Linked DNA regions of Nothobranchius furzeri. The protein of the gene in region 1 purifies or fractionates together with the protein of each later gene. This does not show direct contact. Links are inferred from orthologs where the notes say so. Each region holds a gene or a part of one and is shown in the gene's direction. Other genes may lie near its edges.

What was found. Proteins that work in one complex are often made in the same cells at the same time.
Region 2: the proteins of polr3k (region 1) and pdrg1 purify together in Homo sapiens (affinity purification with mass spectrometry; 3 studies listed by BioGRID and IntAct, with this or other methods). This does not show direct contact. The link is inferred for Nothobranchius furzeri from reciprocal best matches to the Homo sapiens genes POLR3K and PDRG1.
Region 3: the proteins of polr3k (region 1) and si:ch211-140b10.6 purify together in Homo sapiens (affinity purification with mass spectrometry; 3 studies listed by BioGRID and IntAct, with this or other methods). This does not show direct contact. The link is inferred for Nothobranchius furzeri from reciprocal best matches to the Homo sapiens genes POLR3K and POLR1D.
Region 4: the proteins of polr3k (region 1) and polr2h purify together in Homo sapiens (affinity purification with mass spectrometry; 3 studies listed by BioGRID and IntAct, with this or other methods). This does not show direct contact. The link is inferred for Nothobranchius furzeri from reciprocal best matches to the Homo sapiens genes POLR3K and POLR2H.
Region 5: the proteins of polr3k (region 1) and polr3b purify together in Homo sapiens (affinity purification with mass spectrometry; 6 studies listed by BioGRID and IntAct, with this or other methods). This does not show direct contact. The link is inferred for Nothobranchius furzeri from reciprocal best matches to the Homo sapiens genes POLR3K and POLR3B.

Annotation. Positions count from the first base shown.
Region 1 is NC_091745.1:3,875,935-3,880,106, reverse strand, and holds polr3k (DNA-directed RNA polymerase III subunit RPC10), read left to right. Parts: upstream 1-1,652; 5' UTR 1,653-1,795; coding exon 1,796-1,906; intron 1,907-2,017; coding exon 2,018-2,105; intron 2,106-2,522; coding exon 2,523-2,650; 3' UTR 2,651-2,920; downstream 2,921-4,172. Other genes in the region: snrnp25 (U11/U12 small nuclear ribonucleoprotein 25 kDa protein), read right to left, coding at 88-178, 1,105-1,326. UniProt on the Homo sapiens protein: Core component of RNA polymerase III (Pol III) which synthesizes small non-coding RNAs using the four ribonucleoside triphosphates as substrates. Can mediate Pol I proofreading of the nascent RNA transcript.
Region 2 is NC_091743.1:5,380,538-5,385,793, forward strand, and holds pdrg1 (p53 and DNA damage-regulated protein 1), read left to right. Parts: upstream 1-2,180; 5' UTR 2,181-2,251; coding exon 2,252-2,335; intron 2,336-2,474; exon of another isoform or gene 2,475-2,643; coding exon of another isoform or gene 2,644-2,673; intron 2,674-2,783; coding exon 2,784-2,859; intron 2,860-3,081; coding exon 3,082-3,156; intron 3,157-3,238; coding exon 3,239-3,319; intron 3,320-4,830; coding exon 4,831-4,913; 3' UTR 4,914-4,995; downstream 4,996-5,256. UniProt on the Homo sapiens protein: May play a role in chaperone-mediated protein folding.
Region 3 is NC_091747.1:51,105,301-51,110,146, forward strand, and holds si:ch211-140b10.6 (protein POLR1D), read left to right. Parts: upstream 1-2,209; 5' UTR 2,210-2,354; coding exon 2,355-2,380; intron 2,381-2,711; coding exon 2,712-2,786; intron 2,787-3,222; coding exon 3,223-3,574; 3' UTR 3,575-4,070; downstream 4,071-4,846.
Region 4 is NC_091748.1:62,882,707-62,888,100, reverse strand, and holds the start of polr2h (DNA-directed RNA polymerases I, II, and III subunit RPABC3), read left to right. Parts: upstream 1-2,318; 5' UTR 2,319-2,491; intron 2,492-2,724; exon of another isoform or gene 2,725-2,779; 5' UTR 2,780-2,791; coding exon 2,792-2,864; intron 2,865-4,801; coding exon 4,802-4,885; intron 4,886-4,972; coding exon 4,973-5,066; intron 5,067-5,160; coding exon 5,161-5,244; intron 5,245-5,394. Other genes in the region: lisH domain-containing protein ARMC9, read right to left, coding at 126-218, 321-476, 797-967, 1,191-1,316, 1,436-1,510. UniProt on the Homo sapiens protein: DNA-dependent RNA polymerase catalyzes the transcription of DNA into RNA using the four ribonucleoside triphosphates as substrates.
Region 5 is NC_091744.1:73,559,141-73,564,341, reverse strand, and holds the start of polr3b (DNA-directed RNA polymerase III subunit RPC2), read left to right. Parts: upstream 1-2,125; 5' UTR 2,126-2,241; coding exon 2,242-2,313; intron 2,314-2,555; coding exon 2,556-2,588; intron 2,589-2,900; coding exon 2,901-2,957; intron 2,958-3,035; coding exon 3,036-3,100; intron 3,101-3,179; coding exon 3,180-3,255; intron 3,256-3,375; coding exon 3,376-3,476; intron 3,477-3,582; coding exon 3,583-3,674; intron 3,675-3,764; coding exon 3,765-3,882; intron 3,883-3,951; coding exon 3,952-4,060; intron 4,061-4,588; coding exon 4,589-4,711; intron 4,712-5,201. Other genes in the region: endouc (uridylate-specific endoribonuclease C), read left to right, coding at 8-113, 199-310, 380-501, 969-1,081, 1,166-1,316, 1,383-1,658. UniProt on the Homo sapiens protein: Catalytic core component of RNA polymerase III (Pol III), a DNA-dependent RNA polymerase which synthesizes small non-coding RNAs using the four ribonucleoside triphosphates as substrates.

The DNA of each region.
Region 1 (4,172 bases):
TCAGGCTATAATTTTCAATCATCTAATAACAAAAAATAGAAAGTTGATAAAAAAGAAATAATAAAACAATGAAAAAGCAACACTTACGCATGATTTCACCATCTGCTTTCACGACCTTCACAGTCATCGCCTGGCCGTACTCCAAAGCTATCTGAGAATTTACTTCTTCCAGTGTGACCTGATGGTACAGAAAAAAAAAACATTAAAATTGACGCCACCGATTACCATTTCTCTGCACACATCAGACCATCATCATCTAGAAAAGCTCACAACCCTGAGAGGACTTGCTGTTAGATTATGAAGATTTATTGCTGGTCTTAAATTTGGAAATACTTTGACAAGTTGAGCAAAATACAGTGAAATATTTTGAATATACTTTATTGACCTAACAAAATGCACAAGGTAGACGTGAGCTAATACTTCTACTGCTGTCCTCTTGTGTAACCAATATTAGGACAGAGTACAAATCACACAGCTTTAACATACAAGCAAGAAGAGACATCAGCAAGGACTTTGGGGAGATAATTTTGTCTTTGCTCTAATAAAAACTGTAATATGCAGTGATCTGCTGTTTTTACTCCATTGGAAGCTTGCAAATTGATTCATAAACACTTTGTAGTGCAAATGGGATCCATTTGAGTTTTAATAGGTATCTAAATAGACTGTTTGGAAATTGCAGGTGAGGTGTGTGTCCAAACTTTTGACTAAAGTAACAAAAGCTGCACAATGTATCACAAAACATCATCACTGTGACTGCTTCAGTGGCACACAAAAACAGCTTGATTCACAGTAGATGGGGACATGTTCATGTGACTGAATCTCCTTAATGCTATTGCTGAAAACACACCAGTGGTGAGTGATGTGTGGTAACAGAGTGAGGAAAATGAGGATTTAGCACAACTGTTATCGTCATCGCAATACCCAACGATATTGTAACAGTGTGATTTACTAAATCCTACAAAAGTATAATCCTGGCCCAAATATCTTCTACAATCGTCATTGGACTTTAAAAATAAAATAGACCAGCTCCAATGAGTGAATCTCAAATAAAGGTGACAACACACGTTTTCCTTCAGAGTAACTGAGGGCACTCAGAAATAACACCTGGATTGGCAGGTCGCAGAGTAAAGGGTCCTGCACAAGTCGAGCAAGTCCTTCTTCAAAAATATCCAGGATCTCAGAGTGAGGGAGAGAATCTTCATCGTCCTCCTCCTCAGCAGCTGCCTCGTTTAGGAAGCTCTCCTTTTTCACCTCCTCATCCTGCACTAGTTGCGCTCCTTCACCTCCTTTGACTACAGCAGAACCTGGACTCTGCTCCTCCTCCATCCGATAATCATCCAGCTATTGGGTACCTTCCGGGTTTCCTGCTAGAAAACGTCGTCTGGATACAATTTACCTGGACAACAATTACAGGTTTACTTCAAAACTGCTGCTAAAAAAGAAGAATTAGAACAGCAAAAGCCCGTATGTAACTGTGTGCAGTACAAACAAACTACCGGAACGGAAATGGACCTTATGTAAAAGGTTCCACTTGATGAAAATAAAAATGAACAGCTGCGTTAACATTTGATAAATACGTATTCTTATCATAAATTAATAACATTCATTTTAATATAGAATTGTTTACATACAATTAGGCATGTTGTTTAAACGATTAGCGACTTCCGGTTGTTTCCGTTCGAGCTGTTTTCATCAGTCGACTTCCGGTTTTCTCTACGCAGCAGATGGTTTCTGGTGAAATCACATTTAGATTCCATTTAGTTGATGGTTTGCGACCAAATTGATTACATTTAAAATGCTACTCTTTTGCCCTACCTGTGGAAACGTTTTGATCGTAGAAGAAGGACAGAAGTGTATGAGGTTCGCGTGTAACACCTGTCCTTACATACACAACATCACAAGAAAGGTAGGAGTCACCCGTAACTAAACCAGGTTTCATCATCTAGTTGGTGTCAGAAACACAAAATATTTGTCGTTAGGTTTGTAAGTTTAAGGTCTTGTTTTATTTCTCTTGAAGGTAAACAACCGAAAGTATCCCAAATTAAAGGAGGTGGATGATGTTCTCGGTGGGGCTGCTGCGTGGGAGAACGTGGATTCAACTGCAGGTAAATAACATTAAAATGACTTCCTGGAGTCTGCATACAAATGTTTAGCATATTCTTTAGTTTTAGTTAAGTAATTAAAGTGTTTTAACGCCTAAAATGAGAAAAGTGTACTTCCAATTTTCAATTATACAAACGGATTAATCCAGGATTTTCAGTTTTTCTTTTTGTTCAAGCCAAACCATTCAACAATCCTGATATCCTGTATCTTTATTTAGGTCATAGTAGAATTGGCTAGATGCTTAATAAACTATTATTTATCTCCTTAAAACAATTCATGATCCTTAAACAGGATTAGTGATTTCTTAAGATTAACATTCTTAAACTAAAACCTGGACATACCAGAGGTATTTGGGGTATAAGATGGTACATACCGGTGTGGCCTCTAAGCTGACATATTCCTTCTCTATCTCTGTACAGAAAAATGTCCCAAGTGTGAGCATCCTCGGGCGTATTTCATGCAGATTCAGACCAGATCTGCTGATGAACCCATGACAACTTTCTACAAATGCTGTAATGCCCAGTGTGGACATCGATGGAGAGACTGAAAGTTTTCTACTTGTAGTTATTTCAAATGTTCAGATGATTTCTGGCCTGGTTTTCCTTTTCTTCTGTATTTATTTGCACCATTTACTTTCCAGTTGTGATAAATGTTCCACATGACAAAGTGTTTACTTCATGATTTTTATTGGTAAAATAGCGCCTGTGTACAGTCACATAAATTGCGTACATAGTTGTACATCAGACATCTGGAGCGATGCAGACCAGCAGTTTTCACAACATGACTAAAGTTCCATTACAATCCTTCACAAAATGTGTTTTTTTGTTTTATATTTTGCACAGATTTTTCAGTCTTGAGGAAAAAAATATGCACAGAGTCGGAGCACATCAATGATTATTACTAAAGGTATAGCCCAGGCAAACTGCGAGAAGCATTAGTGGCTGATGTATCCCACATGCTGAGATGATTCACTGTTAGTGTTCAGAATCACTTTTGCAAAAGGTCTAATTCAACAACTTCATGAAGCTCATTAAAATCTCACTAATCAAATGTATTTCATTTCATCTAAGCGAAGAACCTTCATTTAGGTGAATCCTTAATGGCTTAGTACTCAGTTTTTAAAACCTCTTAAGATCAGCTAAATCTGAAATGGTGCTGCATGAGCCTGACAGAAAAACACACACCAAGATGTCATGCTTTCGTTTTTAAGTGATTAGCTTGTCTATCGCCTTCAGTACACTTGTGGACCATTCCCATCTGTACCGGGTCGGCCCGGGCCGGGTAGCGTAGGTTGTTTACATATCTGGGTGGCCTGGTATTTTTCCGGGCCAACCAAGGCTCATTCTCAGCCCTCTTCTCGAGGGGGTCTGCTTCAGGCCGACCAGGGCCAACACACCCACTGCTGACAGCAACTTCACACCTTCCATTAGAGCAAGCCTCTGATTGGTGGGTAGAATCAGCCCACATGGGCTTAAGGCAAGGATGTGTGGAATCAACCGGGCCAGGCTGGGGCCGACTGGGGCTACCCGACCCGGCACAGATGGGAATGGCCCAAAAGTCTGAATATGGCTCATAACTCGGTCGACTACAGAAACTAGTAACACCTGGATAAAACTTTGCTTTTATTCAGGGTAAAATCGTGTTTTAATGAAAACAAAATGTGTGTTTAAACTTATAAAGTGCAAATATTAACTTTATTCTCAAAACTACAGACGGGGACAAAGGTAACAGCTAAACAGTGAATCAGAACATGTTGATTGGAGTAATGAATACAAGTAACTAAAGCATAAAACATAAATGTATTTGTTTAAATGGACGGTTTTCACATTACACCAACGATAATGATAAACAAGAAACAACTAGGTAGGTAAGAACAAAAAAACAGTGAGAGACAAAATGTTAACATTTCTCAACAAACTTGTTAAAGGATAAAACATCTAAGATGAAAGTCTCAAAACAAACAAACATCTTAACCCAACATTCTTCATACACTGACCAAGATTCATAGATGAATTCAAATAAAGTGACAATTTTCACAGTTTTTGTTTACTTATTTTTTCATTTACATG
Region 2 (5,256 bases), on another chromosome or scaffold:
CCGTACTTTGACGTCATCGGCAGTCGAAGGACCCCGAGCCGATCTTGCACCCGAGCAGATACTGTACCGACACCGGGAAACTGTGGTCTTTGGGTCTTTAAGCTAACGCCTGCTGGATGTTTGCTCCTTCTGTTTCGTTTACTCACATGAACTTTGATCATGAAACACAAAGTTATCAGATGAAATCGCTGTTTGATCTTCAGAGTTTTTTAGTTGAATTAAAGACGTTTCCTGATATCTAATTAAAAACGTTGGTTTTAGATGTGGTTTCGTTTCGTAGCGTTCATATGAAGCAGAAGCTGAACTTTTGGAGTAAAACAGGAGTTGAGATTATTTCAACACTAATTTGCTGATAAGTTCTAATTCGTAATGTTTGATAACGTGAAGCATAAATCTGGAAATATGAAATAAATCAGAATAAAATACTTTTAGGACATTAAAGATTCCTAAAAGTCCTGGGAGCTGGACTTCAACCATCTCATCTCACACAAACCTCTGAACTCGCTCGTTTGGCAAACGGATATTTTTAATCCACCAGCTGGATTCCAGGAGAAGCCCTCCAAACTCCCAGAGCCAGGAGCCCCCCAGGCATAGCCCCCCCAATCGTTCGCTCACAGCTGACAGGGAAACAGGCTAAATCCAGTCTAGACCAGTTAGGCTCTTCCATCAGACAGATCCCTCCTGAGCAGGTTTCAGAGAAGCTGATTTATTATGAAGTTCTGACTAGCCTGGTGCGTGGAGCTGGGGTGTCATTACAGTGTCCTCAGATGAAAAAGCTTGACTTTGATCATTTTTCATATACTGGCCCACCTCTGTTTATTACACTTAAACACACTAAATCATTGGCCCAGTTTTAATATTTACATGAGTAGTCTTAAACTCAAACTTCAAACCATTAAAAGGTTCCCAAACCCTCAAGCATTTCATCTATAAGTGTTACTGTAGCCTAACCTGGTGAGCCAGGCCCATGGGGGACCAGCTGAGGCTCCTGTGGAGCGAGGCTATACCCACAAGCTGGGCTCAGTCTCCTCCACCGGATGTGTACCGGGAAAGTTTGGCTCCAAAAGAAAAGTTATCGCTTCCAAATCAGAACTTATGCTCTTTAAATCAAGAACATTTAAACTGTCACAAGTATAAAAAGTACTTATTTGAGTGTTGCTGCGTTTGAATGAGGAAAATGTGGAAAATTGAAAGTCTGAAAACTGTTTCTGGAATATTTGGGTCCATTTTCAAACCTGGTCAGTTCATTACACCCGTGACCACCGTGCGTGTAATGTTGCTTTTAAGTCCTGTCCATCATGAAACTTGGTTTAAAGGCGTTAATGCTGAGTCCACTCTTATTTTATGTGACAATAACAGATGTTTCTGGAAGGGATTCAGCTGAAGTTTCAGGAACGATGGACTTTTTTCTATTGGTCCAAGGAAAATGATTTGTAATTTGTTTGTTTTGCACAGTAACTTGTACATTTTGACTATAATACACAAAGGTGTGGACTCGAGTCACATGACTTGGACTCGAGTCAGACTTGAGTCATTATTTGAATGACTTCTGACTTGACTTGATAAAATCTATAAAGACTTATGACTTGACTGGACTTGAACACCAGTGACTTGTGACTTGAATCGGCTTGCATCTGTTGACTTGATGATGACTTGAGAATGTTTGATATTTTGTCACAGAAGTGGCACGACATGGACAAAAATCATAAATCATTCTTGGTTCTGGGTTTGATTTACTGCTGAATGCAGCAGCGCTTTGTTTATAACCAGTCTCAGTTTCTGCTTGTTTGAGCAAAAAAAAAGAAGCTTTAAGAAGGTTTTTTTCTGGAATTAATTTATTATCATCGTCATTAAATAGAAGTTGGACAGATGGCTTGATTATCACTTGAAAATTCAAAGTTAAGGACTTGACTTGGACTTGGTTGTCTTTGACTTGGATTTGACTTTAGACTTGAATGGAAAGACTTGTGACTTACTTATGACTTGCAAAGCAGTGACTTGGTCACACCTGCTATACATGAAGAATTTGAGCCCACTTGGACATGCTTTTGAAAATGTTTTTCCTATTTATTTAGTTTATGATGAGAATATTTACAAAAATACAGAAAAACATTTGTATGTGGAGTATGTACAGTCTATGGTCACACCTCTGAAAATACATTTGTGAAAAGCTTCGCGGCGGATGCGGAGGTGACCTCTCTCCAGCAGGGGGCGGTAGTCCACCGTTAGCCCAGAAGAAGAAGACTCAAAGATGGACGACGCTTCTCTGCGTGTTTTGGAGCGCTTGACTGAAGTGGAAGAGGCGGCTGAGGATGTTCTCACCGCCAAACAACAGGTAAACACATCCAGACCCACCGTGGCCAGGCTGGTTCTGTGAGACCCGTAGCGGGTTACAGCTGCTAGCTTCATGCTAACAAGTGTGAGTGGAAGTGACGTACGCGGTGAGACCCGTAGCGGGTTACAGCTGCTAGCTTCATGCTAACAAGTGTGAGTGGATGTGACGTACGCGGTTTTCAGACGCAGTTCTGTGCGTTAGCAGCTTTATGCATGAGGATTTTAGCGGTTGGAGCCAAGAGAGCTAAGTTCTGGTGTTGGTTCAACACTTCATTTACCCGTCACCACACCGATGTTGTCTAGAGTCAAATGTCCTTCTGTAGCTGGTCCAGTCAGGTGGTGCGTTCATGATATCTGAAGAAAACTGTTGTTCTAAAACCACACACACACGCACGGATATCCCAGTTAATAATGTCCTCCCTTAAAACAAACGTGTGTGTGTGTTTCAGATTGTTGACCTGGACATGAAGAGAAACTTCAACAGAGAGGCGCTGAACGCACTGAAACATGAGATGTCGGATAAAGGTTTGTGATCCATCAGCACTCAGGCCACCAGAACACCACAGAGGAACCCTTGTAGCTACAACAACCAAACGTTCCCATAAAGCTGGAACATCCGTCTGTTATTATTGCCTAAAGGAACACGTGTAATCTGTAAATAATCTCAGGCTAATTATGAAACTCGTGGTTGTTTATTGGTGACCCTGGTGATGAAGGAGTAATGGCCGCCTCTGCTGCCGTCCACAGAAAAAGTCAAGGTTTGCTTTGGAAACATGTTCATCAAGTTCTCCAAGTCTAAAACGACGCAGATGATCCGGAAAGGTGATCCTTTATCGTTTACAAGTTAGATCTTCCGTTTTTAACACGAGTCGAATTTAGTCTGAGCCGTTTCTCCAACCTGCAGACCAAGAGCAGCTGGACAAGGAAATAAACCACCTTCGCAAAGAGCTGAGAACTAAAGTCGGTCGTCTCAACGAGATCGAAGGTATGTGTGTTGTGACACATCAGCGGTTCCATCCACCACACTAATGATTCAAGCACCGGTACTACAGACCCTTGTTCACCTCATAGATCCTCACGAAACAGCAGTCTCCGGATCAGAATGGACCTGGAACCATTTCTTCATTTAACATTTATTTTATGGGCACTAAATGAAAGCTAAAGCTTTTTAAAGAGTTTATTATTCTGGTTATTATAATAATAATGATAATAAATGTGACCATTAATTTGGTTGCAGTCTCTCGGACACTTCCTAAACGTTTAGTGTGCTCATTTAGAAAATATTTATCGTTTGTTAGAAAAGCAACACTGGAAACTAATCCTCCAGCTTCATATTGTTTTAATGAGAGGTCCATTTTCATAGCAGGACATTGTTGTTCGTGAACTGCATCCTAGTGAGCACACTTCTCTTCATTATGAGGCACAAACAGTAAGAAACTCTGACTGCAAAGAAAATAATCAGGAACTCGATGAAAAAGCACCGACACTGGGATCCTGGTGTTGGAGGTCTAGACTCGTCAGACCAGGCAACGTTTTCCGGTCCCTTCTGGTGATGCTGTGGGGATTTGAGGCCCAGGTTCCTGTTGTTGGCTGACAGCTGGTGTGGTCTTCTGCTGCTGGAGTCCATCTGGTGCTGGGTTAGGGTTGAGTGTCTGTTTCAGAACTAAAGGTTCTAGTTCAGTGAGCTGTCGGCCCAAAGCACCAGCTGTCTCCCAACAGGTGTTGTGAATCCTTCCGTGTGATAAGTTGTTGGATCTGAGTGGAGAAAGAGTTAGTAGTGATGACCCGTTTTATCACAAAACGCCGCTCTGACACATTTTTCACGCGTTCTTTGGCTTACCGTAACAGTTTTTGTCTTCTGAAACATTCAGGCGGCTTCTGAAAGAGAAGCGTCACAATAATAAATTATTTTCAGTTCCTGCAAGAAGTGGACGGCTCAGCCTCTCCGTCTCACACTCAGACAACGACAGACGACCACAGCTGTAAATAGAAATGACCGTGGTCGGGCCACGAAAAGGACAAAACCCTGGAAAAACGACCAAGTTCCCCGTGTGGTCAGCTCAGTCACTGGGCTCCTGCAGCCCACACACCCAACCCCCCAACTGGGCTCGCCCCGGACCTGTACAATAGTAGACACAACAGATCCCGGGTCAGTCAGGAACGCTGGAAAGGAGATCAGATTTGAGGATCACATGATCACGGTTTTATTTATTTCAGACTTTCACTCCACAGGGGCGTGTGCTGAGCCCCACCTGCACGAACCACTCGTGTGGCTGTTCTGCTAGCACCTGCACCTGAAGCTTATCAGTGATGTTGGTGTTGTTGGTTTGATCTCACACGACGAGCAGCTGGCGTGAGTGATGGCGGTGCCGGAGCTGATGGGTGTTTGGAAAACATTTATTTGTTGTTTGAGTTGATCCTTTGAAGCACCTCATGTTTGTCTGTAGAGTATTTGTTGTTTGTGATATTTTTTCTTTGTTGTTTGCTTGCTTTCAGGAAATCCTGAGCTGAGAGGTTATAATCTGTCTCCTCTATCCTCTGATGAGATGAAAGCTATCACCAGCCTTCTGAAGAGATGAGCAGCTAACTGCTGAGGACGAAAACGCCGACGTGTTAAACCCAGTTTCTGTACAGCTCTGCTCAATAAATCCAGGACAGTAACTGATGTTGTTGAAGCTGAACAAAAATGTTATAGAAATTAGGATTACCGTATTGATTTGTGCTTTAAAACCCTCCAACAAGCCCTCCCTCAAGACGCTTCACAAGCACAAGAAATTAAAAATTCATCCATCTATTTTTGGCCGCTTATCCGGAGTCGGGTCGCGGGGGCAGCAGCTTAAGCAGGGAGGTCCAGACTTCCCGCTCCCCAGCCACTTCCGCCAGCTCCTCCGGGGAATCCCAAGGCGTTCCCTGGCCAGGTGA
Region 3 (4,846 bases), on another chromosome or scaffold:
CTTCTGTCTCTATCCCGCAGCTGGACATGAATTAATCATGAGGACACAAGGCTTCTCTGTTTCTGTAACAAAGCTGTGACATCACCACATCACACACAGACGTGTAGACATGCAGGCGTAAACCTGCACGCGCATACGCAAACAAGCACACGAGCTTTATCCAGCAGGCCCTGAAAATAATCTTTGGGATTTTAGAACTCTCAAAGCACTTTGATCTTTTTCAGGACAATAGTCCTCTGCAGAAGTATGAATGCATGCATGCTTTGTATTGTATTAACGAATGACAGAATTTTGTCTACACACAAATGACAAACTAAGGTTTTAGCACGTGCAGAAATGCAATAACCAACAGAAATGGCATCATAATTTAGGCCACAGATTTTAAAACTCAAGTTTATCTTACGTTCGACCCGATCTCTTCATCCATGTTTTTAAATTTATTTAGAAGAGGCCTGCAAGGTGTGTTTCAATTGTCTGTTTTTCTCCAGGCAGACGTGCAGGGGTGACAACAAAAACAGACACTGATTTGATTAAATCTAGCATTTTCTCCTCCTCCCGGTGTCGTCGTCCCAGATTGCCTTGCATAAACTGCAGTGTCATATTCCGGTTAAGTCAACATCGTTATTAAAATCATCGCACCCCTCTTTCACCTCCCTCCCCAGCTGTCTGACTTCATCCCATCCTGCAGAAGCGGAGGCGCGAGAGGACAGGACAGAAGAGGCGACAGCATCAACCCCGCTCGCTGACACAGCTCATGCAGGAGATGGATGTCTCCAGATGTGATGGATGTTTTACCTTCTTCCGGCGGCTCCTCCGCGCCGTCCACTCGGGCCCCAAAGCGGGGAGCAATTATCAGCTGCGGGGCGTCGATCACGCATTCGCCGCAACCGACGGAGAGCTCCGCAAGCCCGCAAGAAAACGCCCCCGTACCGTTGGCGCCGCTGATCCCGCCCACCGCTGCCAATCAAAAGGTGATGGGAGGAGTCTACGGAGCTGAGTTTAGAGGTGGCTTACACCGACCGCCTGTTCAAAAACAGGATCAGAACAAAAATTAGAATAGAATAGAATAGAATAGAATAGAATAGAATAGAATAGAATAGAATAGAATAGAAAAAAACAGAACAAATATATACTTAATTATCTGCCTCAAAAGTATTCTTACAGTGCTGGGTGAAGTGTATTACCCACAAGTCATTGCTGCAGGAGAAAGGGTTCAAGTTCCTTTTCTGAATATTTTCTAATGGAATGAGTTAGTTTTGGGACAATCAGTTGATGCTCTGAATGTTTTAGACAAAGCAGCAATTAATTAAAATTTATTTCAAATAATGGGTTGTTTGTTTAAAAGTTGTTAATAAAGGCTTTTGAAAAAGTATCACAGGACCAGCATCTCGGCATGCGTTGCGTTTCATGACGCAATGCTCCCTGTCTCACTTCAGCAATTATTTGCACAGTTGTAGTCCACGCACTCGAAGCCTTACTGCACACTTTCTCCAAGTGCACTTTGCTGAAGACTGCAGGGCGCAATGCGAGTATTGGCACTGGGCCTGCTTGTGATGTCACAATTGGGGACAATTTCAAATAGCTTGTTTTAGGCACAACATTTCTACAACCACACATTGGCATGTTTGGAGCGTTTATAGAGGCAGAGTGCACATGGCGGCACAAAAAGGATGCAAAAGGCATAATATGTCTTCTTTAAGAAGATTACTTCTAAATAAAAATGTTTGTTATTGTCCTTTAATGTATCACAATCTAGATTACTAAAATATCTTGCTTGATGATATTCTGTAACTATCACTTTACTTTTGATTAAGCCATTGTATGTATTTAAATTATTTTTACAATTTACCAAAGAATTAAGTTGGCTTAGTTCCCAATGGAAAATGTTTAATCAAATAAAAAATGTACAAGTTTAAATGTCACATTTTACGTTTCGATTTGAGTATAAATCCTTTTTTTTAACAAAGTGTGTTTATATATTTGTTTGATTCTATGTTTGTTTTAAAGTTATTTGTGGCCAAATGTTGCTAAAACAATCAGCTGTAAATGTTTTTCCAGGGGTGCCCCATAACTTATTGAACTTTTAAAAATATCAATTATTTTAATTAAAAAAGATCAATACATAATACACAAACATATCTACTTGTAAATAAAAAATGTAGTTTGGTTTCATAACTTATTTTCAACATGATTTTGCAACTGAACAGGCATTGCTCCGGGCAGCTAAAAACAGGGTCCGCGATTGAAGGACCTCTCGGCGAAGTGAACAAGAAATGCCTCGTAAATTAACGTAAATTTATAGGTTTTATTAGGTTTTTATTTATTTGTAAGAGTTTTTGTGTGATTAAGACGCAATGGCGGAAGAAAATGAGCTAGAAAAGTGAGTAAATGTATCTTTATTAACTTCCGTCTGAACACATTTGCAGACATTTTCCCTCTAAAATGTAACGCTGCGGAAAAACAGTCTGTTAGTAGTTCTGATCTGAGTTGTTTACTGTATTTAAAGTTGACTTGTTGACTCTAGCTGCCTGTTGTGTGTAGTTTCAGGTCGGCATAAGTAGCGAGTCCAATCTGGTGATGAGACTCATTTCGGGTCAAACAAGGACACGTCCGCTTTACTTTCATCTTATATTTCTTGTACATCTGCTCAGAATTTCTGTCCTGTTTGTCTCATGACTCATTCTCCTGGTTCTGGGTCCGGTTCCGTCTAGGCGCGCCGTGGAGGAGCTCCTGAGGGAGACTGACAGAGCCCGGGTGAGAGCAGAGACCATGGGTCCTGCAGGATGGTGAGCTCTGAAATATCTCTGACCCTCTCATGTGGATTGGCTTTCTTTCTTTTCTTTTTTCTTTTTGGATAATTACTTAGTGTCTAGTATTATTTTAAATATTAGATTATTTTGCTCATGTTCTCATTAAACCATCTGAACACACCACGTGTCTTCCTAAAAATGTTAGTTTTGCACTAAAAGTTATCTTATCTGTTGGTATTTTAATTTGAGGTCTTATATCATATATATACATTAAAGGTTTTTTTGGGGCATTTCAATCGTATGTGTGAAAATTTCTTATTTAGCCTCTTTATTCTATAGTTAAAGGGATAAAACACCCACAAAAGTCATGTTGCTGAAGTCTGATTGAATCTGTGAAATTAAATTTCTTCTTTCGGCATCAACTGCTGGATTTTTCTGGATCTGTGTCTGATGTTTGTGGATTTTTCTCCAGGTTGAAGTGTCCTCTACAGAGCACCAACAAACGCTTCTTACTCAACACCCTGCGCTCCACGGGCCTGCACCGGCGCACAGAGGAACCCCAAGCCAAATGTTCCTCCACAAGAGGACGCCTTCGGAGCGAGTCCCCGGACAGACAGCGTGACCGCAGCAGAACGCCTCCGCCTGATCACAGGAATACTGGCGGCCCCTCGGATCATAAACGTCCTCACATGGACCGCCGCACAAGTCGAGATAAGAGGCCGGACAGAGATAAGGACAGACGCAGCAGACACCAAGACGACAGAGACCGGAAACATGCCGATGGACAGAAAAGAGACAAAAAAAGACGGATTCAGACTTCATGAATGGACCGGCTTTGTTTTTAGTCTCAGGAGCTCATAACCGACTGAGAGGTGCTGCTGTTTGCTTTGTGTTTAAAAGAGAAAAACTTTATTTAAAATATCATTTTACAGAGAAATAGAGTGAGTTTTGTCTCTTTGGACGTACTGGTAGATTATTTTCTTTTTTCCCAATAAAATGCAACAGAATGAGGTCAAACAGTCTCTCTCGTGACTCATGATGAGGTGTAACCGTGTTCGTCACAGGAGGGGGACCTAATCTCTATTATAACGCCATTACTATTCATCACGTGTCATGATGTTTACATAGGCCACGCTGCTGTCGCCACAGAGTAAGCATGTTTTATCATTTTTTGACATGCCGTCAAAAACTGGTTTGTTACTCAATGAAAAAGCTAAAAAACATTTCATTTATTTTGTTTCAGGAACAATCTGTTGATTTTGTGTGATTGTCCTCACTTTGAGATGGCAGATGGCCATTAAATCTTTCCATTTTTTCTGACTCCACTGTCTTTTATTATTTCTACAACTTTACAGGGACGAAAGTGTCTGATTCTGATTGCCTCCCTTCTTAACGGGCAACACGCCTCATAAATCACATATGGAACAGCCTGGGTTAACAATTTCCTTCCTCTTTACAACAATGATCAAATATAAAGGCCATTAGGCCATATTGCAGGGGGGTGTTTTGCATAGAAATGGCTCACCTGGACTTTATTGCACCGTTGAGTGCTGCCATTAAGATTCATTGGAAAGTGCTATAATTGCTTTTGAAGATCTGAGTGCAAATAGTCTATCGAAGCTGCGCAGACTATCAAAATAAAAGCCGGCTCGTCCCGCGTGACAAACATGCGTCTGAAAGTCGTGCGTAAAAGGCCGTGGAGACGCGCGCTCCAAACGCGCACGGCGGTTAATTGAGTTCAGTTGGTCTCTTCATGATAATTGACTAACCAAGAGGGCTATTGTTAAATGGGGCGAGGACACACAAAGATTAATGGCCAGCAAACACGAGGAGAGTGCAGCAGAGTTGTGTTTGTCGTCGCCAAGGTTTTTTTTATCGTCTGAGGCAGCGCGCGCAAAAATGGTGTTAAATGATGCATTTAGAAAAGTGTAATGGACAGATTTAAACGTCAGAAAGAGCTGGACTAAAATAAAAGGCTGTGGAAACTAAGGTGTGTTTCCAAGACAACGGGTGCCTTATCTCGCAGGTCAACCCAATGTTTGCACCCATAGTATCGATTTACAAGACTCATATTCGCATAAAATGTCGATTGCTTC
Region 4 (5,394 bases), on another chromosome or scaffold:
TTCTTTATGACATGATCATTTTCAGCCTGAAGCTCCCTGCTGGCATTTCTTCACACGTTATTACCAGAGTCGCCAGCCGTTTTGTTTAAAAAAAACATATTTGTCAGTCTAAAATAAAAGGATACATATAAAGTCAGCAGCCTCGGTGTCTTGGATGATTTTAATGACTGTAAAAGGAATTTCTCCAGCTTAGATTTCAACTGTGGGATCCATGAATCCTAAACACAAAAATATTAATAAGCAAAAGAAAAATGTAAATTCAGTTTGAATGTTGCAGTCGCTGATGGGCGAAAAATACAGAAAGAATCATTTCTGAGTACCTGAAAAAGATCTTTGAAGGACGGGTGAACGGTGGGGTTGGGAACAAAAGGCAAAGCGTAGTAAGGCAAGAACTCAGTGGTCTGACTCAAAGCTGCACCCCGAGTTTCAAGGTACTGCTTAAAGAGGGAAATCCTCTCCTCAAACTCAGCTTGGTCCTGGAAAGCGATTTGAAATTAAATGTTTAAACTATCAGTCAGACAAATTTCCTGTCTACAAACATGCTCAAAATAAATCAGGAAGCATCTTTGCCACATGACTTTTTTCCTTCCTAAAGGGTGGCTTAATTATTTTAACTAAAGATGATGTTCACATAAGGGATTATGCATCATAGTGTAAGTTAGACAACTACTGTTATTTAGTGTTGTTCAAGGGTACTACTTTTGAGAAAGCATGTGGCGCAGCTTGGTGGACACTTTGAAAACAACACATTTGGTTGTATTTTGGATTTCCTCTTGGTAATAAAACCAATACTTACTCGTCTATTAGGGTGTCTTCTCAGTGGATAGATGGAAAAGTGGATATGGAGGTAGAACTCAAGGCTTTGTGCTTCAGTGTCTGTGTGTTTGACCTCAGAGGGAATATTCTCTGTCCACAGCTCAAAAAACACCTTGTGGTCTCCGTCATCAAATGAGCTAAGAAGGTCCTTCTAGAAACGTCACATTCAGAAGGAGAAAATCGCACAAAACAAGAACTCAGAGAAAATATTCAGGTAAATATTCAAAATCAGCTGGACCATCTTGGCATTTGCATACTTGTTAGGCTGTGTACGTCCTTTTGTAGGATTACTGGAACTACATAAACGTCTCCCCACTATGACAGAAAACACACCAACATAGCAGATTTCCATGTTGAAGAAGAGCATTGTTTACCTGAATGACACGAGTCTTAGAGTCTCTTAGAGCATTTCCTCTCGGTTTTGAGACCAGCTTGCCTTTCCTTTTGCATTCCTTGTCAAAAACCTGAACAGTCTCCTCAAACTCCTCAAACGTGAGGTACTGCAACAAACAAACAAACATGATTCAACTTAAACAGTGAAGGATGACACTGAGTTTTGGTGCATTTCATTCATTTTCAGCGAACATCAATATTGCTGTGACCCAGATATCTTCTCTACCTCTTTGATCATCCCAAGAAGATCAGCTTCTGTTGCCAAGACGTCCCCCATCTTGGCTTCCTCACTGGAACTCATGTGTGTACCGAAAACATTTAATACCCCTTTAGACGGGAACGATTTCTGCTTTCATTCAAAAACGTTTATAGATCTAGGGTTCAAGCTAAAAGGTGCAAGAACAAAAGAGCAAAATACATAAGTAAAAACTTAATTCTATGAGCAGTAGTAAAAATAACCAAACACCAAAACGCACAACGGAATGCTAGTGTAACTTCGGCAGGCATGTGGGGTTTTATACCATCTTAAATGGTTTAACATCAAGATTAGCAACAACTTATGAAGCTACAAGCTATCTAATTAGTTGACACACGACAGGACATTAACATGGCTCCTACCTTATTCGCACGTAATTTGATTTGGGAGAATTGACGTACAAACAAGTTTGTGATGCGTTAACAAGTAAACGAGATCCATAAAGTACATTTTTGCTCGCTTTGTCGGACAGTGAACGAAAAAATAGCTGGCAACCACAAACAGGAGGGACGCTAAAAATACCTAGCAACCAGAGGGTCACCGGAAAGTAAATGTGAGTGTCGTAAACTAAAACTAACTAAATGTATTATATTTTACAAGAAAATATATTGAATAACCTTAAGTTATGAGGCATGCGATTTAGAAAAACAAAAGTAAACGATTGTAAATTATAACAACGCACAGACAAACGTAATTGTTGACCTTTTTTAGGATACATTATGCAATTTTAATGGTAAAACTATTATTTTAGTACGAGTATTATATTTTTACAATTTCTTATGTTTTACTTTGCTTTTTAACATAAACATTTATTTTTTCATTTTATTTTGTTTTATGAGAAGTACTTCCCGTGTCAAAGGTTAATCACGTTGTTTCTGCGCGCCACAGATTGGCTAGATAGCAATGAATTAAATTACTCTTAAATAACAAATCTAGCTTATGTTTTGAACAGTCGCTGTTGTCCTAAAGAATCGAGTAGTTGCGAGGCTTCTGTGTTTGCATTACGACATCTAAAAATAATTTGGGGTAAGTGCAACAAATGAATTAACAGTATGCTAAAGCTAGCTGTTAGCCAAAATAGGAGATTCAACGTGGAAGATAAAACTTGCCAACTTTAACTGACGTATGTCCTAGTCTTATTTTTATATAAAAGTATTTTATGGTAATATGCTTATAGCAGTTGATTTCTTGTGCTACCTAACGTTTCATTGCTTTTTAAAAGTTACTATAGTTTATTACGTTTTATTTTTTGTTGACAGGTTGTTCAAGTCATAACAGGGGCTTAAACATTTGATCCCCTGCACAAATTCACAGAGTGGGCCAACGATGGCTGGAATTTTGTTTGAAGATATCTTTGATGTGAAAGACATTGATCCAGATGGCAAGAAGTTTGACAGAGGTACTTATGAAGTACAATAACGTATTGGGGTGACTTATTTAATTATTCCATCATATTGTTTTTGTCGTATTGACATAATGCACAGGTATATTGACTCATGAGTAATCATTTATTCTACGTTTTTATTTGCCCACGTTAAGGCAGACTTTACATAGTGATGTTAAAGAAAATCTGGCATCCTGAAGTTAAAAGCTAATATAAAATTGAAAGACATTCAGCTCATTAAGAGAGCAGTTAAAAAACCAACTTGCTTATTGGATTTAGTTTATACAGGTGCTGGCCAGTAAATTAGAATATCATCAAAAGGTTGAAAATATTTCAGTAATTCCATTCAAAACGTGAAACTTGTACATTATATTCATGCAATGCACACAGACCAATGTATTTCCAATGTTCATTACATTTAAATTAGATATTCATAAGTGACAACTAATGAAAACTCCAAATTTGGTATCTCAAAAAATTAGAATATTCTGAAAAGGCTGAATATAGAAGACACCTGCTGCCACTCTAATCAGCTGATTTACTCAAAACACCTGCAAAGGCCTTTAAAAGGTCCCTCAGTCTTGTTTTGAAGGCACCACAATCATGGGGAAGACTTCTGACTTAACAGCTGTCCAAAAGACAATCATTGACACCTTGCACAAGGAGGGCAAGACACAAAAGGTGATTGCTAAAGAAGCTGGCTGTTCGCAGAGCTCTGTGTCCAAGCACATTAACAGACAGGCGAAGGGACGGATAAAATGTGGTAGAAAAAAGTGTACAAGCTCTAGGGATAACCGCACCCTGCAGAGAATTGTGACGACAAACCCATTCAAAAATGTGGGGGAGATCCACAAAGAGTGGACTGCAGCTGGAGTCAGCGCTTCAAGAACCACCACGAGGAGACTCATGAAAGACATGGGATTCAGGTGTCGCATTCCGTGTGTCAAGCCACTCTTGAACAAGAAACAGCGCAAGAAGCGTCTCGCCTGGGCCAAGGACAAAAAGGACTGGACTGATGCTGAGTGGTCCAAAGTTATGTTTTCTGATGAAAGCAAGTTCTGCATTTCCTTTGGAAATCAAGGACCCAGAGTCTGGAGGAAGAGCGGAGAAGCACAGAATCCACGTTGCATGAGGTCCAGTGTAAAGTTTCCACCGTCAGTGATGGTGTGGGGTGCCATGTCATCTGCCGGTGTTGGCCCACTCTGTTTCCTGAGGTCCAGGGTCAATGCAGCCGTCTACCAGGAAGTTTTAGAGCACTTCATGCTTCCTGCTGCTGACCAACTTTATGGGGATGCAGACTTCACCTTTCAACAGGACTTGGCACCTGCACACAGTGCCAAAACCACCAGCACCTGGTTCAAGGACCATGGTATCCCTGTCCTTGATTGGCCAGCAAACTCGCCTGACCTTAACCCCATAGAAAATCTATGGGGTATTGTGAAGCGGAGGATGCAATACGCTAGACCCAACAATGCAGAGGAGCTGAAGACGACTATCAGAGCAACCTGGGCTCTCATAACACCTGAGCAGTGCCACAGACTGATCGAGTCCATGCCACGCCGCATTACTGCAGTTATTGAGGCAAAAGGAGCCCCAACTAAGTATTGAGTGCTATACATGCACATTCTTTTCATGTTCATTCTTTTCAGTTGGCCAACATTAGAGAAACAAACATTTTTTCATTGGCCTTTAGAATATTCTAATTTTCTGAGATACCAGATTTGATGTTTTCATTGGTTGTCACCTATAAATATCAAAATTAAACGTAATAAACATCGGAAATACATTGGTCTGTGTGCATTGCATGAATATAATGTACAAGTTTCACGTTTTGAATGGAATTACTGAAATATTTTCAACCTTTTGATGATATTCTAATTTACTGGCCAGCACCTGTATAACCTACAGCAGACAATGTTTATAATCTACTGACAAATTCTCACCTATTGCAGTGTCTCGTCTGCACTGTGAGAGTGAATCTTTTAAGATGGACCTCATCTTGGACGTGAACATTCAGATCTATCCTGTGGATCTTGGTGAGAGCGTAAGCCCTTTTACCGAGGGCACTCTTATTTAGTTAATTCTTAATACAATAAAAATCTGACTTATAACATATTATAAAGGTGACAAGTTTAGACTGGTGATTGCCAGTACTTTGTATGAAGATGGAACACCGGATGATGGAGAGTACAATCCTCAGGATGATCGACCATCTCGGTGAGACATTTTTTGCACTCTTCCATCATCTCGTAGTGTGTGTGATCTTTTGATGTTTGAGGTTTGGGCTCTCTGTTTACATTTTCATTCATAGAGCGGACCAGTTCGAGTATGTGATGTATGGAAAAGTCTACAAAATTGAAGGAGATGAGACTTCAACAGAAGCTGCAACTCGCCTGTGAGTAAATTTCTTATTGCTGCACAATTTTTACAACAAATAAAATAAAATGATCTAAGTGTTGAAGTTAAGGAACAATTATAATTTTTTTAATGATCATGAATTTAAGATCGGACATGTATTGTTAATCTGCTTCCACCGATTTGCTTG
Region 5 (5,201 bases), on another chromosome or scaffold:
CTGTCAGTAACCGACCAGCTGTGAACCAGGAGTTATCCAACATTTTTAATGAGCTCTGGGGCTTGGACGTGAATCGGATGAACCCTGGAATAGACTACACCATCGCTGTTCAGGTGGGGGGGTGGGGATGTTCTGACTCAGTAAACATTCATCTGTTTTTATTATTATTTGTGAGGACTGTGGGACTCTCCTGTCCAGGGCAGAGCAGGATTTGTAAGCCAGGGCAGCCTGGTGGTGCAGGATCACGCCTCTTTGCCTCTGTTCTCCAACGTTAATGAAGCAAAACTGGGAAACATGACCACCTTTTCTCGTGAGTTTCATTGTGACTGGTAGATTGTTAAAACGATTTAGTGTTAAAAATGTACATTTATGCTTTTAGGCTTAATGAAACTCCTGGACAACTATGAGCGGTCTACAGGCATCACGGAGCGAGTCACAACAGAGGAGCAGACAGAGATCAGTCTCTTCCTGGATGCTGTTTTAGAAACTCAAGTTATGAAGGTGACTTGTTGCAGATTTTGTTACTTAGATGTCTTTAACCTCTCATCGTTTCATGCATTTTGTGGTTTGAAGCTGCAGCTGAACACTGCAGAAACTCGACTCATCGTGATGTTTGAAGAAAGGGAAAAAAATAACAAAACAGGCAGCTGAAACATCTGTGTGCAGCTGTGGAATGTTGTGTTGGCCTCAGTGGGCTCCCCAAAGAGGATCACTGGAAAAATGTGAACTTTCAGTACTTGTTTTAGGAGGAAATACTTTTCTGGTCCAGTTAAACCCATAAAGTGTTTCTTACTCTATAGTCAGGGAACAAAATTGTTTTACATCACGTTTTGATTCAATTAACGTTTCAAAACACTGCCTCAAAGGAAAGGTATAAGCTGCAGCTTTTATTTATCATTTGCAACATTAACTGTTCATTTGCTCAAACTGGAGAAACTTTCTGAGTAATCTATGTGATTTCTTCTCAGCGTGCCCATCAGTATCTGGTGAGCAAAGGAAAGTCCAGGTCTGACTTGAGGCTGTTCAAGAGTCAGCTGAGCTTGATCTGGTTTCATCTTTACCACCGACAGAGGAACACGGGGTGGGAGTCTGAACATCAATGCGTCAGAGTCTTTTATCACTTTGTTTGTGACGATAATAAGTAACCATTTTGTTTGTGTGACAGCCCAGACTCTTGTGGGTTTGAACACGTTTTTGTTGGTGAAACCAGATCCGGAACAGAAATAATTGGCTTTCACAACTGGGTTCAGTTCTACCTGCAGGAGAAAAACAGCCAATTGGATTACAAGGGATACAAGGCCAGAGAGCACGACTTGGTAAGTTCACCACATGGAGGAGACGCATCTCTGTCGGCACCATCTCATGTCTGCTTCCACCTGCAGCCTGACCAGGATGACCACGTTTTGAACCTCCAGTTCAGCTGGCACGGTGTGCTGAAGCCCGTCGGCAGTGCCTTCATTGGGACCAGCCCTGAGTTTGAGATGGCCATCTTCACCATCATCTTCCTGATGAACACAGAGAGGAGCACCACAGTGCTGGTCAACATCGACCAGTGTCAGCTGGAGCTGGTGGTCGTCAGGCAGGGACGTTGTCTGGGGACGGCATACCCCAAACTGCTCAGCAGCAACAGCAGACATGTCAGGGGGCACGCTCGCTGACCCTGTCCACACCTGAAATGACAGGTGGTGTCTGTATGGAGGCAGCAAACTGAACATCCATCATGACTGTTCTAAACTTTATTCAAAAATGTAGAAGATGCTTTTAATAGAATAGTTTGTGTTGCTTTTATCAGCATAGCGTTAGAGGATCAATTGATTCAATCAGATTCCTTAGTTTTTTCCTCTGCTTTAGTCAAAACCAAAAGCATTAATTCTAATTAATTTTCTATTTATGCTTGAAAAAGTCAACGTGTTTTTCCAGTACATTAAGTTACTTTTTGTTTGTTTCTCGTACTAAATAAAACAACTAAGTAAAACAATCAAAAAGTGAATTTCTTGTCTTTTTTTGTTTCAGTAACGTTTTGCACCACTAGGTGGCATACGTTTATTAAACTGTTGAGATCCCGCGACCTCCGAAGAAGTCGTTCCAGACGGAACTATGTAGTTCCGCCCAACGTTTCTACGTACGCTTGAAATTGAAACACATAGCTGGGACGCATGCAGCCGACACTTCCTGCGTGTTGTGTCAACACTAACGTTATTTATATTTTTAAATGTTTAGAGTAGAACAGCAACGGTGACTATGGAGCTGCTGGGAGGAGAGTTTGGAGAAATGACTCCTCAGGAGTTGGCGGCTCCTGTCAACACTGTGGCGGTAAGTTCGGGGAAAATCGGACAAAAAGGTTTTTACACCACGAGTGCAGTGCAGTAAGCTAATTCAACAGATTTAACTGATGGTGTGGTGCAACGAAGCTTCTTAGTTGTTAAATGAGTCTGGAATTATGTCACAGCTGGAACATTGTAGCATTAAATCCAGAGTTTGGCCAACCTCGGCATAAAGTGCTCCAGAAACGGAATAATTTAATTAATTAACTGGTTTGTTTCTCTTCCTGACAGGAAAAATGGAAGTTGTTACCAGCCTTTCTGAAGGTAACACAATAAGTAGAATTATCCCCCCCCCCCCCCCCCCCCGAGGAAAATCTAGACAAATATTTAAGCAGAAATTTCCATTTATAATCCAGATTTTTATTAATTCTACAATTTGAAGACTTCTGTTGTATTTTTAATTTAATTTCCGACTTTTGTTAGTTAATTTGATCTAATCAGATTCATTAATTTATGAAAAGTCAGGTTTAAATAATTAAAGTTAATCCCTTTAGCCCTCAGTGACCTAAGAGTTTAACCATGAGATACATCCATGCTCCTCTCTTTTTTTCTCTTTCATCTCTGTGTGCGTTGCAGGTGAAAGGTTTGGTGAAGCAGCACATTGACTCGTTTAACTATTTCATTAACGTTGAGGTAAAGCTGAAACCCACCAACCGGGCTTTTACTCCTCTGTTTAAGATTTCACTTCACTAAAAGCATCTTGTGTTTCAGATCAAGAAAATTATGAAAGCAAATGAGAAGATCACAAGTGATGCTGATCCACTGTGGTACTTGAAGTAAGTTATTCAATCGTTATATTACTGACACGCCCTTTATCTTGAATTGGAGTTAATCTGAGAAGTGGTTCCTGTGCAGCTACCTCAATATCTACGTTGGGATGCCCGATGTTGAGGAAAGCTTTAACGTAACCCGACCGGTTTCTCCTCATGAGGTGAGTCTGATCAGATGAGATCATGTTTCAGTCTGACAGGTTTGTAAATTAAATCCATCAGTGGATTTATGGGAATATTTGTTGATTATTTTGCTTAAAGGAGAAATTCTGTTTCCACAGTGTCGCCTCAGGGACATGACCTACTCGGCGCCCATCACAGTGGACATAGAATACACTCGCGGCAGTCAAAGGATCATCCGAAACGCTCTGCCTATTGGAAGGTTTCTGATTTTTGACTCATTCTAATTTATCTCTCAAATTCTGCATTTCAGCTTTCAAAACTCGTCAAGATGTTATTGTTAAGAGGATTCTTTCTACTCGTGTCAGGATGCCGATCATGCTGCGAAGCTCGAACTGTGTTCTCACAGGAAAGACTCCCATGGAGTTTTCTAAACTCAACGAATGTCCTCTGGACCCAGGTACACTGTTGTTAAAAAGGATCTAACTCTAATTCTTAATGTTTTATTCTGGTCCTCTGTTTGACAGAGTTGTGTTCTTTTGATTTTCAGGAGGTTATTTTATTGTAAAAGGCCAGGAGAAAGTCATCCTGATCCAGGAGCAGCTGTCCAAGAATCGGATCATTGTGGAACAGGACAGGAAGGGTGCAGTCGGCGCCTCGGTTACCAGGTAGGAATAAAGTTACAGCTTCCTCCCAAATGAAGGAGTTAGACAGTTTAACTTGTTGTTTTGTTTCAGCTCCACTCACGAGAAGAAAAGCAGAACCAACATGATTGTGAAGCAGGGTCGGTTCTACCTGAGACACAACACGCTGTCTGAAGACGCTCCCATCGCTATTATATTCAAGGTAAAACCAGTTTAAGTACGTCCAGTAGGTGGCGCTGCAACACAACTAAAGAGAAGATTTTCTCTGCAGCTCTGATCTGTGTAAAATCATAATTGATAAACTCATGCTGTGGGAGGTTTTGATGAACTCTGTTCATCAGCCGGAGTGAAAATGTCAGTGGAACAGCTGGTGCTGTGATCTCCCATCACCTCTGGAGAAAAGCTTTTCTAACACATTACCTTGTGAGTGTCTGAACCCTCGGTTCTGTTTGCTGAGAGCTCGTACATCCTGGACTGCTCCTTCCCCACCTCCTTCTGCGACCTCATCTCCTCCGTGGAGCACACGAATCAGTTCCCACAGCTTCACATTTCCATAAGCAAATGTCATGCACCCCCATGACTCCGAGCTAACCTCTCTGACCCCCACCAACACTCCACCTCCTAATGTTTCAGCTCATATAGTCTCAACGTGGTTATATATTGAAATGATTTAGTTCACCCCTTTCACATTAGTCCCTTGTCTTCTGCATCATGTCTGTGACCCACACAGGGTATGGGTGTAGAAAGTGACCAGGAGATCGTTCAGATGATCGGCACCGAGGAGAACGTCATGGCTAGCTTCGCCCCGAGTCTGGAGGAGTGTCAGAAAGCCCAGATCTTCACCCAGACTCAGGTATTTCAGTAAAAAAAAAAAAGCCACTGGTTACATCAACATGTTTTACAGGCTAATCTCAGGTCAGGTTACCAATCTGGTGTTTATGACGCAGGTACAGATGAGTTAATTTTACCCCTCCTCTTTGTATACTCAGTGGTTCCAAAAGTCTGGGTCAGGGTCCCACTGTGGCTCATGAAACACTTAGCTTTGGTCTAGAGACAAAAATCTTAGGCCTAGTCCACACGTAGCCGGGTTTTTTAAAAACGAATATCCGCCCCTCCAAAAACTTGCATCCACACCACCGCGTTTTAAAAACAAACTCTGTCCACACGTACCCGGATAAATACGTTGTTAAGGACATGCCAGACCTGTAGGCGGCAGTACTTCCCCCGTTCTTAACCTCGTCCTTCGTCTGTGGTCTTCCGCAAGGAGCAGTAATTCCGCTTGCAAAAACAAACAAGCAAAAAGCGCTTGGACAATTGATGGATCGGGTAGTGACAGAGCGCAG